Linked DNA regions of Danio rerio. The protein of the gene in region 1 purifies or fractionates together with the protein of each later gene. This does not show direct contact. Links are inferred from orthologs where the notes say so. Each region holds a gene or a part of one and is shown on either strand. Other genes may lie near its edges. The genes, in order: trim33, skila and ssrp1b.

The links.
Region 2: the proteins of trim33 (region 1) and skila purify together in Homo sapiens (affinity purification with western blotting; 4 studies listed by BioGRID and IntAct, with this or other methods). This does not show direct contact. The link is inferred for Danio rerio from reciprocal best matches to the Homo sapiens genes TRIM33 and SKIL.
Region 3: the proteins of trim33 (region 1) and ssrp1b purify together in Homo sapiens (affinity purification with mass spectrometry; 3 studies listed by BioGRID and IntAct, with this or other methods). This does not show direct contact. The link is inferred for Danio rerio from reciprocal best matches to the Homo sapiens genes TRIM33 and SSRP1.

The regions. Positions count from the first base shown.
Region 1 is NC_133183.1:12,536,710-12,543,462, reverse strand, and holds part of trim33 (E3 ubiquitin-protein ligase TRIM33), read left to right. Parts: intron 1-842; coding exon 843-906; intron 907-2,441; coding exon 2,442-2,565; intron 2,566-4,610; coding exon 4,611-4,978; intron 4,979-5,761; coding exon 5,762-5,885; intron 5,886-6,753. UniProt on the Homo sapiens protein: Acts as an E3 ubiquitin-protein ligase. Promotes SMAD4 ubiquitination, nuclear exclusion and degradation via the ubiquitin proteasome pathway. According to PubMed:16751102, does not promote a decrease in the level of endogenous SMAD4.
Region 2 is NC_133177.1:40,323,581-40,330,433, reverse strand, and holds the start of skila (ski-like protein), read left to right. Parts: upstream 1-3,082; 5' UTR 3,083-3,137; intron 3,138-4,805; 5' UTR 4,806-4,958; coding exon 4,959-6,080; intron 6,081-6,853. UniProt on the Homo sapiens protein: May have regulatory role in cell division or differentiation in response to extracellular signals.
Region 3 is NC_133176.1:47,979,187-47,985,939, reverse strand, and holds part of ssrp1b (FACT complex subunit SSRP1), read right to left. Parts: intron 5,763-6,753; coding exon 5,659-5,762; intron 2,682-5,658; coding exon 2,553-2,681; intron 2,200-2,552; coding exon 1,978-2,199; intron 1-1,977. UniProt on the Homo sapiens protein: Component of the FACT complex, a general chromatin factor that acts to reorganize nucleosomes. The FACT complex is involved in multiple processes that require DNA as a template such as mRNA elongation, DNA replication and DNA repair.

The DNA.
Region 1 (6,753 bases):
ATATGCTTATATATACCATACTACCCTGCCCTCTTGTACTATATGGCTAAAACTCCCATTCAACCAACCATATGCACCAAAACCCAAGGGCTAAGGCTGTGTCAGCTCTGCTGGCGCCATTAATTCCTGCTCAGCGCTCCAGGTTCCTTATGGCATAATCTGCTGTCCAACCATATGCACAAACCCTGAGGCTAAGACTGCATTCTGCTGCCCTCGTGAATTTGTGCTCCGTCCCAAATGGTGTGCTACCAAACTGCCTCCAAAGCTCGCTAGCACATTCATGCAGTTCACTATTATTGCTTTGTTTTGATCAATGATTATTTGAAATGATCTTAATTGTTGTGCACTGCTGTTGTTATTGTTAACTAAAACTATTTTAGGTGGAAATTAAATAAATAGAAATATAATTAATACATGAGAAACTTCAAAATGTAAATTCACTTTCTAAAATTGTGTGTTTTGTGAGCTTTGAATTGCTATCCAAAACTGAATGGTCATTAAGATTAGCAAAATATTTGACTCAACAAGTCCCTTAAGATTGTTAAATGCGATTTCTTATGAGACCTAATTGACATTGAGAATTGAGTATATATGTCAGGATTATTCATTGGCGTATTTTGAGCCAACCATCTTGATGTTTTAGAAAATTGTACTACATTTTTTAGGCTTTTTGAAGTTAACAGAATTATTACATTTATTGAATTGCATTACTAAAAGTTAAATAAACCTTTTTTATATCATTTAAGTTGTGCTTTGAGCCAATCTAGAACAATGCCTGCTCACTTGTGAATTTTCTGTAGATTTGATGTTTTTTAACAGACTCTCTGTCGCTTTTTCTTCAGGTTTATCTAATTCTCACACTCCAGCTCGTCCATCCAGCACGTCAAGTACAGGCAGTCGGGGCAGGTCAGTGTTCACTACAGTCTTTTAATGTTTTAGGGTGTTTTCACAGCTAGACTTTTGTTTCGGAACCTGCTTTGTTTCCCCAGTTAGCGTGGTTTGTTTGGCATACGTGTATGCAGCAATCGGGCTCTGATACTGAGATCGCCTGAATGAGGTGGTCTCGGCTTGATTGAAACAAACTTGGGAGCTGATTGATTGTAGTGAGAAAGAAGTATGATTGAACCAGGCTATATCACAGTGGATTATGGACATGTAATAGGCATATATGGCTACTTGAAGAGAGAATTAGAAGTAGAGCGGGATGTCATTCCTACCGGTAAACGTGCATTTCATGCCTAATACGAAAGTGAAAGCATGCTGATCTATTAATGAGAGCTGTTTATCTGTTAGGAAAATTGACCGAACAGCAGTCTTGGTTTATCTGTTGTTTATCTCTAATGTATAAGCCAACTGCTATGTATATGAAAGTCTTACCTCTGATGTGGGTGTCATCATTCAAAATTAAATCGCAGATGTTTGCTTATATTGTCCTATTGCTCATCGTCTTAAATTAAAATAAGGACGCATGACAGCTGAGCGGGACTCTGCAAAATAAACCATGAAGCTCTGACCAATATGACTTGTTTTAGCTGTTTTGGTCCGTTTAGAAACTTTGCCGTGTGAAAGCAAACCCTAAACTAGACATACTAGTTTAAACTTTTTGAATTGTGTTACTCATAAGTTCATGATCCTTTACTTTTTAAAAAAAAAATCTTCATATACTGGGATGAATTTTAGCAGAGACTGTATTTTGAATTTAAAAAATCAAGCAATTGCGTAAAACATATGCTGGATAAGTTGGCGGTTCATTCCGCTGTGACGACCCCAGATTAATAAAGGGACTAAGCCGAAAAAAAAATGAATGAATAAATGAAGTACATAAATTAAAAAAAAAAAATTTGTATTTGTTTTATAATATATTCAGCACATATGAGTACACAAACAAAAATCTCTTATTTAAATAAATATTTTCTATAGGAAGCTTTACAATATTATATTTGTGCATATACATGAGTTTAGTCAGTACTGAAGCCCATTCTGGAGCTTATTTAAAAAAAAAAAAAAACTTACTATAATGGTTAAAAAAAATTAGTAGGACAAATGTATATGTTGTAGAAAAATATTAAATAACATTTTCTAAAATAGCAAAAATCAAGAGAAACAAAAATATATACAATTTTGTTAATGTTGTAGTTTTTTGTTCAATATTTTGCATGAATTTAAATGTAATATCTTTCCATTTCTAAATATATTTGGTGACTTAAATATTAATAAATAATAAAATATTAAAATATTAATTAATAAATCTGTTTTCTTTAAATGCACCAAAATACATTGCCTATATTCACTGACAAATGGATAAATATTTATTTTCAAAATGGGGTGTACTCAGTTATGCTGAGCACTGTATATATGAATGCATCCAAATGGTCTCCAAATGTTCAGACATTGCATACAAAGTGATAATGTGTTATTTATGTTTGTGTGTGTGTGTTTAGTTCTGGAACCACAGTGGACCAGGTGAAGGTCAAACAGGAGCCAGGAGTTGAGGAAGAATGTAGCTATACTGGAGCAAACGTCAAAACTGAACGAACTAAAGATGGCAGACGGAGCGCTTGTATGGTAATCACCTTTAGCTTACAGTTTTCGTAGAACGTAGTCCCACATATTTCTAGTTTTCCTTTAACTTCTTACAAACTGAAAAGATTTGTGAATTTCTTTGAAGACCTAAACCATATTATGACCCGTTTCCACTGAGTGGTACAGTACAGTTCTGTTCAGTATGCTTTTATGGCCGTTTCCAGTAAAAAGGTGCCTAAAAGCGAATGGTACCGTACCACTTTTTGGGTACCCTTTGCAAAGAGTACCTATCAAAACAAAAGGGTTTCAAAAGGCAGAGCTAGATGCGCAACTAGACACTATTGATTTACAGAAATACGTCACTAATGCGTGCAACAAGAATATATACATATAAAAACAAGCCATGGTAGACCCAAGCTCAAACAAACCTTGTCGTCATCTTGACGAGCAGCCACAAAGCCAAGAAGAACAAAATCTGCCATGTCATGTTTTTGTTTCACGGGACCGTCTAAATGTGCAAACGGTTTCACTCTCTTCAGAGAGCTCGCGTGCACTCATCGCGCGTCTATTTGGCATTTGATCAAGATTTGATGAGAAACTGAAGTATGAGGTGACGTGAAAAAAAACATTGAGCCATTTAGTCAAAAGTGACAAACTAAAAGCTTTACATGTTTATATCAGTTTTATATTTTCTAAATGTGAATTTTGTCACTGTTTTGGGCACACTTGGTAGTAGATATCCTAAAAATTAACAGTACTTTTATTTATTTAAGTGCTCATGTATAAATTATTACTTAGATATTTGAGTGCTCTAAGCTCTTAAATAAGCGCTTGAGTTTCCAGAAAGCGCTATATAAAATGTAGGGACTTAAGTTGATTCTCGAGTTGACATTGACTAGTTGTTGGTGACGTCATCATTAAAAAACACCATGCAAATATTTTGCAACATGCCATTATTTGTGATTTATTTGCATGAAATATATACACATGCTGTTTGACAGCTCATGCTGTTTGACATACTGCAAAAACAATGCCACAATAACGATGACTAATTTTAATGCAAACAAATGCACTGTCACCACTTTCATTTAGTAAATAATGCGACATTAACACGGGCTAATTTTACTGCTAAATAAAAGCAGTCAACACATTGATTGCTGCAGGTTCTAGTAAAAATAACAGATTTTATTGCAGAAGTAATGCAAACATCGTCAGCACACTTCATGTGAAGTTATTTCATAACATACATAAAGACATAGGCTATATGCTTAATTACACTGTGAGAGACTTGCACAGATGCATATTTTACTGCTATGATGGTGCGCGCTAGAAAGCTGCTCAAAATCCTGCTCAAGTCGTGCAATTTTCAGGGTTACTGGCTCATCTTGGTTATCAGACGTCTCTTCTGCACATTTTCATTGCGTTCACCTGGGATGATAGTTACACATTTTATGAAGTTTGTCACACTTCTGGTGGCTGCGGACTTCACAGTTTCTGTGCGCTTCACGGTTCATCCACAAAACATGTCAGCATCTGCACTTCCCAGAGGACAACAGCCAATCACATTACTTTTTCACGTTACTTAAACATGATTGGCTAGGATTTGCTCGAGTATTTGCATGGAGCGACATAACTAGCATCTGTTTGAAGTTTACTCAAAGCTCACGTGAATCTTTCATGCTCCAATAAGAAAAATAACATTAAAAAGGAACTTAAATAATTTGAGGGCACTTTCAGTTAGTGAACCACCTTCTTGTGCATTAGCAGAGCATGAAAGTCGACCAGTTGACCTGTCTGTGCAACCCCTACTTCACAGACTCGTACTGCGACACATTCATCATCAATATGAGGACATATTATCAGGAGGACTCCTTTAGAACAATTAAAAGAAATGGAAACTGATTAAAAATCTAGGATGTTTTCCCCTATATTTACTAGAAATGTGTACAAATGTGTTTTCAAATTGCTTCCCGTAGAAAAAAAAAAAAATCCTTTACATTTTTTATTTTGGCCCTCAGGCTCCCTAGAGGTTAGACCTGTTCTCTCTTCACAATGTCTTTCCTTTGTTGTTCTTCCTCCTCACACAGATGAGCAGTCCAGAAGGAAGTTTAACTCCCCCTCTCCCCATCCTTGGCTCCGTGTCCACCGGCTCAGTCCAGGACATTTTAAGGACACTTGGTGAAAACGTTAAATCTGAACCACAGAGCGATAACCTTTCCTCCTGCACGAACCCGAACTCCAGAGCAACTCTAACCAATGGGACCAGCGGGTCGAATGGAGGCCAGCGAGGCGGCACTACTAATGCTAACAGTCAGACCACTGCGGGAAAGGAAGACGACCCGAATGAAGACTGGTGTGCTGTTTGTCAGAACGGAGGAGAACTGCTGTGCTGCGATCACTGTCCCAAAGTCTTCCACATAACCTGTCATATCCCAACACTCAAATCCTCTCCCAGGTAAAGGATGCGGCTTTATTCATACATATGGTGCAGCACAGTCAATATTATTGTATCTGAATGTTTTAAGCAGACACTTAAAGGTGCTGTATGAACGCTTTTGACTCTTTTAAAGCATAAAAATACCATGATATGTTTGCAGATATTTAAGAAACGTGCCATATGAACATCCGCATTGTTTTTCAGACAAACAAGAAGTCAGATATTCTGCTTTGAAAATGTGCTTTACGAGCTGGAATGTCTGTCTTTTTGGTTTTGATGTCTTAAACCTGCCCAATGCCAGTTTAGCCAATTATGTTTCAGCTCCCTGGGTTGCCTTTGTGGACAACAGCTTATTTTATTCATTTAGTTAGGAAAGCTCCTTGCATCCCTGACCAAACCATTTTAGATATGCGCACAAAAATAGGCTGATGGAAACGTAGCTACCTAGCTTTAACCTGTGGTGTATTAATAATATGGTATGGAGCTTGGAAAAACATAATTTTTACTCAACTCAGGAAAACAAAAAGAGTAAGAAGAATAAAATTACTCTACATGCAATAGAAGCGCTACAACCAAGGAAGAAAGCACTGAATTTACCTGGGGCTAATTTGTTTATTCAGTCTTGACCAAGGTCATTTAAATAATTTAATCATAGAGGTTCAGTGGCGTAAGATTCTGCTTAATGCTTAATGTCATTAGGGGTACAAAATGTTCCTGTTTAATTCAATTCAATTATTTTTAAGACCAAATATTAAGATATGGAATTCTGAATTTTAATTTCTGTTTGTTGGTTAATTGCAGTGGGGATTGGATGTGCACGTTCTGCAGAAATCTCGCAAATCCAGAGATCGAGTACAACTGTGATGACGATCCACCCAGAAACAAAGAAAAAAATGAGATGGCAATGAGTCCAGAAGAACAAAGGGTGAGTCACGCTGACAAACAAACACCATAATACACAGAGAATGAGTGAACAAAGGTGAACACTTTTTACTCGAACCACAGTCTGTAGATAAGCCTGTTCACACCAACGATTATTTTACTAACAATGGGTTTTCCACTGTACAAGATGAGGACATGAGAATCGAAACATGTAGCAGAATGAAAGATCTTGAAGATTGCTTGTAGTTTGCTTTCATCCAAGGGATAATTCGCCCCAAAAATGAAAAGGTTCCCATCGTTTACTCGCACTCAAGTGGTCAATAATGGATTTATTTTTTCTGTTGAACACAAAACAAGATATTCTGAAGAATTTTGGGGGGAAATGGTCATTGACATCCATGGTAGGAACAAAAACATACAATAGAAGTCAATGGATGAAAAGCAATTTCAACATTTTTTTATGTATCTTCCTTTTTGTTCAACAGAAAAAATAATTGGATGTTGAGTAAATGGCAGAATTTTCATTTTTGGGTGAACTGTCCCTTTAAGGTTTCAAAATAAGATCAGTACTGTATTTGTTTGACATTTTGATTTTGTAATCAGATTCAGAGAAATCTGTATTGGCTATAATTTCCATATAGCTGCATCTCTAATTCTTAAATAAACAAAAGTTAACAATATAAACAAAGTAAACAAAAGTTAAACAAACTTAAACAAATTAAGTTAAACAAAACAAATACTAAAGTAAACAAAATAACAATAAAATAATACAAATAAACCATTATAAAAATAAAATATAACAACATATAATAACAAAATACAATAAAAAATAAACCAAATAAAACAATAAAAGTAAATAAAATAGCAGTAAAATAATACAAATAAACAAAATTACTAAATAAAATGCTAAA
Region 2 (6,853 bases), on another chromosome or scaffold:
TACACTATCGCCTCACCGCAAGTAGGTCACTGATTTGAGTCCTGGCTGGGTCAGTTGGCATTTCTGTGTGGAGTTTGCAAGTTCTCCCTGTGTTCGCACGGGTTTCCTCCAAGTGCTCTGTTTTCCCTCACAGTCCAAGGACATGCGCTAAAAGTGAATTGAATAAGCTAAATTGGCTTTAGTGTATGTGAGAGTGTATGGGTGTTTCCCAGAACTGGGTTGCAGCTGGAAGTTCATGCGTGAAACATATGCTTGATAAGTTAGCGGTTCATTCCACTGTGGCGACCCCTGATGAATAAAGGGACTAAGCCCAAGGAAAATAAATAAATGAATGAATGAAGTGGACATGGGGAATTTGTACTTACTACAACTTTCGATTAAAATAAAAAAGGACAACAATAATTAAAAATGTGAACAAGAAATAAAATGCAAAATGAAATAAAATATTTTATCAAAACTTAATGAGTCTGAAAATGTATCCTTATAGGTGAAATAATTAAAACTTGGATTAAATTTCCCAAATGGAGGTGTAAAACTAAAACTGAATTAAAACCAAATTTGAAATAAAAAAATTCAAACTAACATAGTATACAAAAACAATGACAGCACAGTACAGTACACGATAAATTATTAAAACTACAATCTTTATTTTTATAGCGCTTTTACAATGTAGATTCTATTAAAGTTGCTTAACATAGAAGTTCTAGTAAATTGAAAATGACAGCCCAGTTTTCTGAGATGAAGTTCCGTTTAGTTGTTTAATGTGATTTAATTTTCACAAATTTTCAAATCCAAAAATAACAATAAAACAATAAAAAATAGTTTAAGGCGACACAGTGGCGCAGTAGGTAGCACTGTCACCTGACAGCAAAAAGGTTGCTGGTTTGAGCCTCGGCTGAGTCAGTTGGCGTTTCTGTGTGGAGTTTGCATGTTCTCCCTGCGTTAGGGTTTCCCCCACAGTCCAAAGACATGCGGTACATGTGAATTGGGCAGGCTAAATAGGCCTAGTGTATGAGTGTGAATGACTGTATGCATGTTTCCCAGAGATGGGTTACAGCTGGAAGGCCATCCGCTGCTTAAAACATGTGCTGGATAAATTGGCGATTCATTCCGCTCTGGCAACCCCAGATTAATAAAGGGACTAAACCAAAAAGAAAATGAATGAATGAATAAATAGTTTAAGAAACAATGACAGCACAATACACAATGTATTATAAAAATTACAAGTAAAATGGAAATATAGAAAAACATATCTTAAAAATGTAAAAAAAAAAACTAATAATTTTTCAACTTAACAAAACACATTGAAAGTAAACAGAAATTAAAGCTAAAACTGAAATAGAAATAAAATAAACAAAGCTAAATGGGTATTTTTTTGTAAATAAATACAATAAAATCTGTAAGTCATTTTTCGCAATTTTTGTCATATTTTATACATTTTTTTTGGTTTAGAAATAATATAAATGAAAATCATTTTAATTAAGAATAGGTTTAAAATGCTATTTATGCCAGTGATTCAAAGCTGAATATTTACTGAAAAAAGCATGATTTTCTGAAACCCATTTCCTAAAACTTTTGAACTACAGTTGAAGTAAGAATTATTTGCCCTCCTGAATTAATAGCCTAAATATAACAGGTAAGACTTTCTCCAGAACAAAAAAAAATATTACCAGACATCTGTTAAACATAATTTGTAAAATATTTTAAAAAGAAAACAAAGTTCAAAGGAGGGCTAGAATACTGACTTCAACTGTAAATTGTTATTGGGGAAAGTTATTTTTCAAAGTAATGCATTACAATTTTTAGTTACTCCTCAAAAAAGTAAGTTACATTACTAAGTTACTTTTTATAATAAGTAATGTGTCACGCTACTTTTGAGTTACTTTTGCATTACCTTTTCTGACCTGGCTGAGACTTGATCTGTTTCAGATCTTGCAGGATTTTTTCCTTCTTTTTTAAAATAAAGCAGCTCTGCAATAAACATCGCACTAAATAACCTACACCTTCATTTACCTTTTAAAAACACATCATAAAATAATAATGTAGGATAATCTTATCTTTTGAGAACTTCCTGACCCTCAAGGATATATGCCTATACAGGTAATAATGAAAGTCTAATGCAATGTGACTACTACTTTTGTCTTTTTTGTGCTATTAATAAAGTAAAATCACTATCCATTGAGACTATAATCCTGTTTTCCTTTTCTGTGATTCGTTCAGAATAATAAGAAAACTCCCATTGCAGAAATATAAGGCTCTGCCATGTTGGTTTCTGTCTTTTCCTGCATTCTATCATTGAGTGTGGGATTCAATCTGACATTTATTTTATTTCAGCCATTTGTTTTTATAAGCTAATTAATTAAGCTAAAAAGTCACTCAAATAGTATTACTTAATTTTTAAAAATATGCATTACTCATTACTTAGAAAAGTAATATTATTACGTAACTCGTTACTTGTAATGTGTTACGCCCTCAACACTATAATTGTAAAACAGAATAATGTTTTATGTCTTTACCAAGTACAAAAACTGTGATGTTTTGCATGATATGTATTTCATTTAAACAGCCCATTTCAGATGAGTCATTATCTGTGAAACATTGACAGACCTCAGCTCATGCTGCCATTCATTATTCCTCAAAAATCATGCTAAGTCATAGCGTGAATGGGGATGTGGCTAAAGTTACTATTTAATTTCCATTTACTCCTTTCTCTTACCATAAAGTGATTCAAATTCAGCATGCTCCACTATGACTGTCCCTAAGTAGACAGCAAAACTCCCTTATTTCTAAAGAAATGTCCCTTGGTTAGTCATGTGTGCAAGCGCAAGTTACTAGTAGACCACAGATGACAACTGAACATGTACTACATGCATTACATTACATTTACTGTAACCTGTAAATTCTTGCAAAGTTCATGAGAATCTGGCGGCGCGCTGCAGACAGACAGGACAGACAGACAGACAGACACACATACATAGACACGCCCGCGCAACATCATCCGCTCCGCCAGTGCGCGCTCTCGCTGTGTGTGACGCGCGATCTGTCTGAAGGCTTTGAGTGTGTGCGCGTGTTGTTGACGCTCAGACAGACTAGAGGAGAGACCGAGAGAGACAGCAGAGCAGATCGTTCATCCTGAGGCAAGTCCCTTTAAAACCCACATCTGATTCGCCTATACACTGCGTCCATTACTCTGGTGGATCAGCAGTTTGTCGCTGTGTTTTTTAAAACCGTTTTGAAGGTTTGTAATAGTTAAGTGACGTTTATTTCTGTCTCTGAACGGGGATTTGTAGCGTTAGCTCGGTTAGCGCGTGCTAAAGGGTCTAAATATTCTAGCCGCACTGCTAAAGCTGTCTGTGCGAACGAGCCAGTTTTTCAGATGTTAAACCGGTTTTGGTGCTGTCAATGAGCAATAATAATTTGCTTATAGGTGGCGTGTGAATTTTTGAGATGTGTGTTTTGATGTGCCATTTAAAAGGGTATAATATACGTGTATATTATGTGTTTAACCTGGTCATATTGGTGATCGAGCTGGGAGTATTTGTGTGATTGATTTAAATCTTAGATATGATCTATATTGTGTTTAATACAAATGTCTGTATTTCTGTTTTTCAAAAACAGTTTTGGGGATATCGCTGTTTAACGTATTTTGAGGGGGTGGTCAGGTGTCAGACTGGCTGAATGGTTGGCAAACGTTTCACTGCCGAATGAAGACATGGGAATGGATTTAAAATAGAAGCTTTCGATGTCGTGTTGGGATATTTAATGTGTAATAGCCGTGATCAGGTTTTCTTTTCATGTGAAGGGTTTTCCCGATTGCGGGGATGGTGATTGTCACACCGCGGGTGCTCAGCGCAGCTGTGCCCGGAGAAGGAGAGGGGAGAGACGGGTAGAGGCGGGGACAGAGCCGCGGTGTCCTTGCGGGGGTAAAAAGAGAGACGCTGTCATTCAGGGTTAAAAATAGACCGCGTTTTGCCAGTGTTTCTGGAAACTGGTTATTTTATGAGGAAATGAAACGACGTCTGCGGTCAGGGTCAGTCTGTTTGAGTTGACCCGCAAATCTGGTAACGTTAAAGCAAAACCAAGCGTTTATTTCGAGGAACTTGAGATTATTATGCTTTGGTGGCCCTTTAATTTTCGCCAAAATGAATGCATTCCGTTTGTAGAACAGAAACGCATGTTGTGATTCTGAAATGAAACGCGTTTTTCTGATGGATTTTGCCGAAACCCCACTGGCATGCGCTGAATTTGAGGCTGAGCTTTCATTTTGCCTTCATATTCGTGCTCGGAAATTCCGCCAGTTCAGGCTTTTGCTTGTACGATGAAAACATCCTTTTTTATTTACAATATAATATATACATTTAATCTTGCGTGGCAGAAGTGGTGTTTATGTGTCGTTAATACATTTTGTTTCAAGCCTGCTGTGGTTGGACAGGACTAAATGGCTGCTCGCTGTTAGTTACTGATGCTGTTGGTTATCTGTGTTAAACCGACGTTATTAGTGCACTGACTCATTTACCGCCTTGACGGATTCGGCATGTTGTCAGTAGAGAAAAACAGCGCACTAAACCAGCGAGAAACTGGCCTTAGATCGATTGCTTTCAAATTAGATTATCCTGATGAGGTGAAAATGTTTCTGTCGTCTAGTTTAGCACTGTGCCCAACGCTAAAACGCTTCTGGATGCCTTTTAATTGCTCTGGCAGCATTTTCCATTCATCCGCATTCACGTGGCTTCACATTCTGATTTGTGTTTGATTTAGTAAGAATTGTATTTTAATACAAGCCTTTTTTACCTTTTCATTCACAGGAAGCTCGTTGAACATTTAATTCTGTCAGCATCATGCATGTAGCTAGACGTAAAAGGATTTGCAACCTTTAACACAGCGAGCAAAGTAGGACCAACCCAAAGGTGTCGTGTCTGACGATTATTTTCCACCCAAGGAAGACCAGTTATCTGTGTATGGATATGGCCAGCCCTCAGACAGGTCTGAAAACCCCTTTTAAAGACCTGACCTCATTTAAAGGCAACATGAAGCGGCTGTACAGGGAGCGACTGGAAGATGCTCCCATTAAAAAACGGGTAATGGCAGAGATGCATTTGAAACGTCGCAGCCTGGAGAGCATCCCCAAACCCCTAAAAGTCAAGAAGGAGCGTGAGGAGCACACCAGCTCAGAAATGGACATGGAGGAAAGAGAATTCCACATTGTCGGAGCATCCAAGGCTTTAGATCTGAGCGCCGGCCTCAAGCACACGCTGGCACAGTTCACGCTGAGCAGCCAGAGCTCCCTGGGAGGTCCTGCTGCTTTCTCAGCAAAATCGGCACAGGAGTGCGCCTCTCCTGCTGGCATGGCTCCCCTACCGTCTCCCCCAGTCCTCGGAGGAGGCCCACTCTTAGTGCCCTGTGACAGCTCCACAGAGCTTACCCATTCTCTCCTTGAAGGAGAGTCCATCTCCTGCTTTGTTGTAGGTGGTGAGAAGCGTCTTTGTCTGCCCCAGGTACTCAATTCAGTGCTCCGAGACTTCTCTCTGCAGCAGATCAATGCTGTTTGTGATGAACTTTACGTTTACTGTTCGCGGTGTCATGCGGAGCAGCTGCACATTCTCAAGGTGCTGGGCATTTTGCCTTTTAATGCACCTTCCTGTGGCCTGATTACCCTAACTGATGCCCAACGGCTCTGCAATGCCCTGCTTCGCCCAGGTGCCACCATCTCAGCAGATCCCAACAGCAAACTGCCAGGCCAAGGCCTGCTGAAGGAGAGTGACATCAGTTTCCAGGTGGAGCACCAGTGTCTTGGCAAGTGCCAAGGCCTGTTTGTGCCCCATTTCTACGTCCAGCCGGATGCCCCTTGCATTCAGTGCATGGAGTGCCAGCTGCTGTTTTCCCCACAGAACTTTGTAATGCACTCACACAAGTCCCCTGACAAGAGGACCTGCCACTGGGGCTTCGATTCAGCCAAGTGGCCCTGCTACCTTCAGCTGGGGCGCAAGCATGAGGGCACACAGGAGGAGCCACAGCTCAAGCAGCTGCTGGACGAGATGAAGGAGAAGTTTCACTACCAGCTAAAGAGGCCTCTGGACAAAGTAAGTGTCTTTTTGTCTTGCATGTGTTCTGGTTCACTAAGGTCAAGTTTTGCTTCATGTTCACAAGTGGATTTGCACGTGTGTGACCAGATGGTAATGTGTGATAGTCCGCAGAGGAGACTGTTTGCTATTGTCTGGGCAAGGCTGCAGTTGTTTTGATAAACTAGTGCTGACCCAATTTTATGGGGTGGCACAAGCAGGTGACGCTTGCTTGGTTGGGACGTATGGCCGGAGGGAGGGAATTCCAGTTGGTCTGGCTGAAGGGGAAGTACATTATCTTCCTCTCAGGTCAGTACAGGGTCAGCTTTAGGGGGTGGATGATGACAGCACACATTAAAATGGTGGAATTTTGTTACCTTGGATGTACAAGGTTTTCTAGTACCTGTATTTTTTTTTTTTTTATAAATTCCAATTCAAAAATCTGTATTTAAATATTCAAAGCATTAAAACATATGCAACAGCAGTTTTACACTTACCCTTTCCATCCAAAATCATTAATTAATATATGCATAATGAGATGATAAGAATATAATGGATAATAATATATATTTTTGTATTTAATCTAGTCTATCTAGTGGCAATGTTAAGTTTAAAGGAAATGGATTTAAATAACTTTTTTCTGATTTCCAGTCTGAGATTGTACTAAATGATCACGAACAGTGTTTTTCTGCACACATACCACTTTGTTACTTCTAGTATTTTATCTACAATAGGGATGGGTGGGTATAAAATTCAGACGGTATGGTAACCTTTGATAAAAATATCATGGTTTG
Region 3 (6,753 bases), on another chromosome or scaffold:
TAACTTTTTGGTGCCTTTTTCCCCTTTATTTACAAAAATTGTGGATGGTTTGCTTATGATATATCCAAGAATTGCTGATATCATGATATATATCAGGGGTGGCCAACCCTGTTCCTGGAGAGCCACCTTCCTGCAGATTTCAGTTGCAACCCAGATCAAACACACCTGAACCAATTAATTAGGACCTGAACACCACGTGATAATTACAGGCAGGTGTGTTTGATATAGTCTTTTGTTAACTTATCGTGTTTATTGTGAAATTCGATGCGTATGTTTTAACAAACACATGTAGACTGCAGAATTGTATCAAATCACTCAGTTCAACTGTTCATGCAGACGTTGATGTTAATTCCTGGCAGTGTTTTCTTTGAATTTAGCTTAGATCCAACCCGATAAATATCTATCACTCTCTTTTGTCAAGTTTAATCATAATTTAGTTTTTATCCACAACAGAAATGAAGAACAAAATAGGTTAACATTACTCGGATTGGGTTTTATATTTGTCCGTGTTCGCATACATTATGCTCTGTCTGTGTGTCTGTAAAGGGAGCACAAGCTTATTAATATTCATGACATGAACCATATATGGTCAATCATGGACCTTCTGATTCTATGGGTACTTTATAGAGTATTAAATGACCTTATAAAACAGTTTCTGGAGATTTTTTTAAACCCAATATGTAGATATCAGAGAATAATTTAACTAATTAAACTAATGCAGTATATGGCATAGCCGTGAGCTAGCTCTCTGCAACTTTCACATGGTCGCCCACTGAAGCTAAGCAGGGCTGCAACCTGTGCTCTGTGTGGGTCCCAATGCCCCAGTATAGTGACAGGGATAGTGAGCGGTGTCTTTCGGATGAGACATTAAACCAAGGTCCTGACTCTCTGTGGTCATTAAAAATCCCAGGATGTCCGTTAAAAAAGTGTAGGGGTTTAACCCCAGCATCCTGGCCAAATTTGCCTACTGGCCTCTGTCCATAATGGCCTCCTAAATCATCCCCATACCATAAATGGCTTCATCACTCTGTCTCCTTTCCACCAATCAGCTGGTATGTGGTGTGTGCTCTGGCGCGATATGGCTGCCATCCAGGTGAATGCTGCACACTGGTGGTGGATGAGGAGATTCCCCCCAATGTGTAAAGGGTTTTGAGTCTCCAGAAAAGCGCTATATAAATGTAAAGAATTATTATTATTATTATTATTATTATTATTATTATTATTATTATTATATTAATATTTTAAGGCCCATTTACACAAAACATTTCTTTGTGTCTAAAAATGTGCTCAAAAGTAGTAGAAGTAGTTTTTTTTTTAAATTCCGCCATGTTGCTGTCAAATAAAACAGCCGTCTCCCAACTTGCTAATGTAAACAAGACACTTGCCCCGCCTCCAACACCTTCTGATTGGCCCACAATCAGAAGACTTTGAAGTAAATTTATGTAAAACTTTAAATTCTTAAAAAACTTGACATGGCGTCTTAAAGTCTATGTACACATCAAGCACATATTACATAGAAAGACAATGGAAAAGTTGCACACTGGAATATAAAAAACGTCTTCTGTGTGAACGGTCCCTTAAAAGTTTTCCGGACACATTGTTTCTGGCACATTAGTGTGATGTGATTAACTGATGCCTTGCTGTATTGATTCAGTCATAATGTGCACCCAACAGAAAATACAATAATGTCCATAAAGCAGCTTAGTTTTTGCCCCCTCAACGTGCAGATGGGGGTCAGGTCACTAAAAGAGAGGGGCTCTTTTACACCAGTGTTAAGACAAAAACAGAGAGAATGACCACAAAGAGCAGGCATTGATTTTCAATGGCAGATGGGGGTTAAGTGCTCAATGACATAATAGCTGGAAGTGCCTGGAAAAGGGTATGAACAATGCTCTTTTCATTACTGCTGTGATCTAGTTCCCTTCAAAGTGATGTTCCCGACAGCCAGACAAGAGTATCATCGGGGGTTCTGGGTACCTCTCGATGCTGCTGAAGGTGTACTGATTGCCTTGCTTGGTCTCGATCTCGAAATCGAAGGAGCGGGTCGTGGTGGTCCCGCGGGCGAAGTTCACACAGGCGATCTCCTCAAAACGCAGGTGCACTGGGGGCTTGTGCACGTAGATGAAACCTCTTTCCAGGGGATACAGCAGCCCTGAACTGGCCTTATAGGAGCAGGTTATACACTGAGCTCCTGAGTGACTACAGAGAACAGAGAGAGACAGGAAATTAGACACTTTTATTACAATAAATTACCACATTATCAAGTAATTGTTCAGTATGAATGCAAACACTATATATATATATATATATATATATATATATATATATATATATATATATATATATATATATATATATATATATATATATATGTGTGTATATATGTATATATATATATATATATATATATATATATATATATATATATATATATATATATATATATATATGTATATATGTATGTATATATATGTCAGTGTTGAATGCAAATGTCATTGAGTGTTTTCAGTGTTTTACTGTATCGTTTTCTACAGTGTAAATATGCGTTTTACCCTTGGAAATTTCCAGGCACTGTGATCTTCCTGTTGACCAAGGCTTTCATGACCCTGCTGACCATCTCATAGAGAGAGCCGGACATGTTTTTATTAAGTTTTCCTTCAAAACGCCTCTCCACCTCGTCCCTGCACAACATAAGAGAACGATATTGCTGGATGGCAACCACTGCACACAACACAACACGACACGATAGAAACATTTAAATACCAGCCATTCTTTCAAATACCAGCCACTGCACTCACAATAAAATGGTAAGAGTTATAAACTAATTAATACACTTTAAACCTCTTTAACATTATTAACAGGCTACTGAGTGACGGATGTTGTTTTTTTGCACAGTTCACACACATTTCAGAGTCATAGTCCTAACTTTTATTTTCAAACCGATTGCTAGTTATTTAATTTTTTACATCTGAGATTAACTATTTGCTACTGCCTTAAGTAGTATGTCACGTAAAATGGTGTTCAAACTCACATTAACACTGAATAAAGCACATAGTCTGATTGTTGTTTATTCATATATTTTCTTTTCAGCTTAGTTCCTTTATTAATCCGGGGTTGCCACAGCGGAATGAACCGCCAACTTATCCAACATATTTTTACGCAGCAGGTGCCCTTTCAGCCACAACCCATCTCTGGGAAACATCCACACACACTCATTCACTATGGACAATTTAGCTCACCCAATTCGCCTGTACCGCATGTCTTTTGGACTGTGGGGGAAATCGGAGCTCCCGGAGGAAACCCACGCGAATGCAGGGAGAACATGCAAACTCCACACAGAAATGCCAACTGACCCAGCCGAGGCTCGAACCAGGGACCTTCTTGCTGTGAGGCACTACCTAGTGCGCCACAGCTTCGCCATTGTTGTTTATATAAAACATTTCTATAAAGCATTGTGGATGGTTAGGACAAAAGGTCAGACTTTAGTTTGATGGTGCTTTTGTTCAATGTAAGTTACATTGTATCTACATGCTAACTAATTTTCATTAGATTATAAGACCATTAGGTTGGGGTTAGGGTTGGTGATAGAGATAGTGTGAGTTGGCATGTAATTGCAAATTTTCTTATAGTATGGTAAATGTCTGTTGAAGGAGCATTTCAACAGATATTAAGCAGACAGTCTACTTATACTCAAACTGACCATCAAAATAAAAAGCTATCGAACAAAAATGTGTAATAAAGGACACCATTATGCAAAAAAATTGAGTTGTGAATCTAACCAGCTTCTAATGGTAAAAAGTAATAATATTTTTATAATCACACTTGATAAAAACAATCTAATGAGACACTTTTATTGACATTCTCCCTTTGTAAATGTCTTCAGAGGGAAAAAGCCCCGCCTATTGGTGAAGAACTCTCCCTCATTGGCATAGGGGCTTAGTCTTTATTTTGAATATGCCACTATGCTGACTCACAGCCATTTGTAGCTCCGCCCTATTTTGAAAAGATCTCATTTGAATTTAAAGGGTCACGAAACACCAAAACACATTTTTTGAGCTGTTGACAGTCGTATATGTGTCCCACACTGCTAAAAACACTATTAGGACACCTATATTTCACTAAAAAGTGTAAATTGGTTGTTTTTGCGTTATTTCAAGCAAATTCGTACTTCCGGTTTGAAACGAATTTTTGAAGCCGCGTCACGGTCATGACATAATAGCGTGTATTGCAGCGTGCAGACTGGGCGTCTGTGCCAGAGTGTGTCTTATTACGTCTTACAGTGTGATGCATTAATGCATGAGTAAAGCTTGGTTCAAACCAATCAGCGCGCTCTATTGTGCAACTTCATTAATATTCATTACTGTCACATGAAGAGATGCCACGTTGTGTTGGCAAAACAAGCGTGAAGTGTTGCTTTTATTGTTTGCTGCAGTTAAGTTTCGTTTTCATTTTCTCTCTGTGAGAGCTCATCTGGAGTCACGTGAGGATTAACAGTGTACGCGACGCTCGACAACAATAGCTTACATGTCTAAGGAGGATTATTGTTTACCTGAGAGCTGTTCTCATCTGCAAACGCAGAGATCCGGATTTGCTTGTAGTATTCTCTTAATAAAGACGCGGCTCTAGTTGCTGGTGATTGTCCTCTATAGATTTGGTAAGTGAGCGACCAGTGCTCTTTGTTTATTCAGTTTATTCGTATCGAACTAAGTTAACTATTGCACCGAGTGTAAACACGTTAGCACCACAACCAAACTTTAACCTCGTGTAGGGTTTTTACCGCATTTAGTGACCGGAATAACACGCGCAGCTTTCTGACGCTACCTGCCGTGTGCATCTAAGTTTCCGGGAAATGCGGAGGTTTTTTTTCTCTCATTCGGAGTGCGGTATCAAACATTGCATGGAAAATACACGCTTAGAGCAGTTCCTCGAATCAAATATCTCATTTGTCGGGAGGGGCATGAATAAATCCCTGAATTAAAGAGCCAAACTGCATTTAAAGTCCACCATTTAATAATTTGGCAAATAATTCCACTACAGATGTCCATGTAGGTTAAACACCATCACTTACTACTGTGTGTGTGTGTGTGTGTATTATGACTCTGAAGCTCGCGCGTGCCCAAATAGACACTCCCACACCATCCCACTTTTCTTCCTCCGACACTCCCCCCTAAACAGAGCTGGACACGCCCACTTTTCTGACTTTTTCCAAAGTAGAGGTGTGAAAACACCCTGCTGAAACGAGGGGGTTTCATGGCCCTTTAAAGTGTCACCAAAAAGACACAATTTGGATCAAAAAGGTAAAAAAAAAAAGTCAAAAAGAGACAGTTTCAAAGAGTTATGAAACATTATTTGTGAGGTCTCTTGAGCTAAAACTTCACATACACGCTCTAGGGACATCAGAGACTTATTTTTACATCTTGTATAAAGAGGCATAATAGATGCCTTTTATCTTTATTTACATGTCGCAGCATCACGCCGCATCGCTTGTAATTAGGACACATTGCAATTCCTTTAACCTCAGGTTGATTTAAGCTAATATTCTTCGTAAATAATAATACATTTTTGGTCATCTGCTTTTAATACTGTTAGTAAAATGTAAATAGCGGACTTCTGACATCTTTCACCAGTGTCTCTCAATCTCTTTCAGGTTTTACTCACTCATTCATGTTGAGTGTGAGGCTGATGGTTTCTTCCTTGGAGAACAGAAGAATGAGAAAGTGATAGCGTGTTTGACCCTGTTTAATAGGGGGGTCCAGACTGATCTGAAACAGAAGATGGCCTTATAACCATGACATGGCATGAATATGAAGGAGATTATATCTATTCTTATGATCACTGTCATTGAGTGCCATTTGCTCAGCTATGTCGTGTTAAAAGCAATGATGACATTGTTTGAGATGTCTTTGCTAAAGTACAAATGAAATCAAAACTAACCAGATGATTTTAATAGCTCATTTTGCCATTTTGAAAAGTTCATCTGTGCATGTCATTAAGAAAAAATAAAGTTTGCTCTTGTAATCTTTAATTGAAATATGAAAGCACACTTCCTGTTTGTTTTCAGTTAAATTTTCACATTAAGTCTATCTGAGATAATGGGCGTGGCTAACATATTTAACCACACCCCTCCAACTGTCAGTTTTGACAACAGAAATGGTGAGGAGGAGGAGTCTGTTAGGTTGTAATAACAATCCTAAAATTTTCCTGATGTTTGTGAATGAAATGCCTACTTTACTACATCCAATCAGCTCGCAGTAGAAAAAACAAGCCACACCCACTGTTTTCTTATTTAATATTCTCGAAGAACAACGTCACAATACAAAAAAAAACATGGTCGCAGCTTCAGGTTCATGCAGACTTTAAGGCCAGTTGACATAAATATATTCAAATTTTTATGTCATCAAACTTGACTATTATTAAGACAACATAACCAGTCATAAATCCGTCATAAACATGATTGTCATGAGGCAATGAATTGACACCAACAAGTTGTGACACATTTGACTTAGTCAAGTTGTCATAACAAAGACATATCAAATAATGTCATCTTTGAATTAAAAATGACATAAAGGAGCCAATGACACTTCACAACTATTGTGATAAACGTAAATAATATGCATAAAATCACTTTTATATTTACGACACGTGTCATGTCACGATTATAACCGTACGCTCACACCGAAAGTGGCGAGAGCGTCAAAGTAGCTAGAGGTCATTCGTTTTCAATGAGAGCCAAGATAAGTGGCAAGGAGCAGC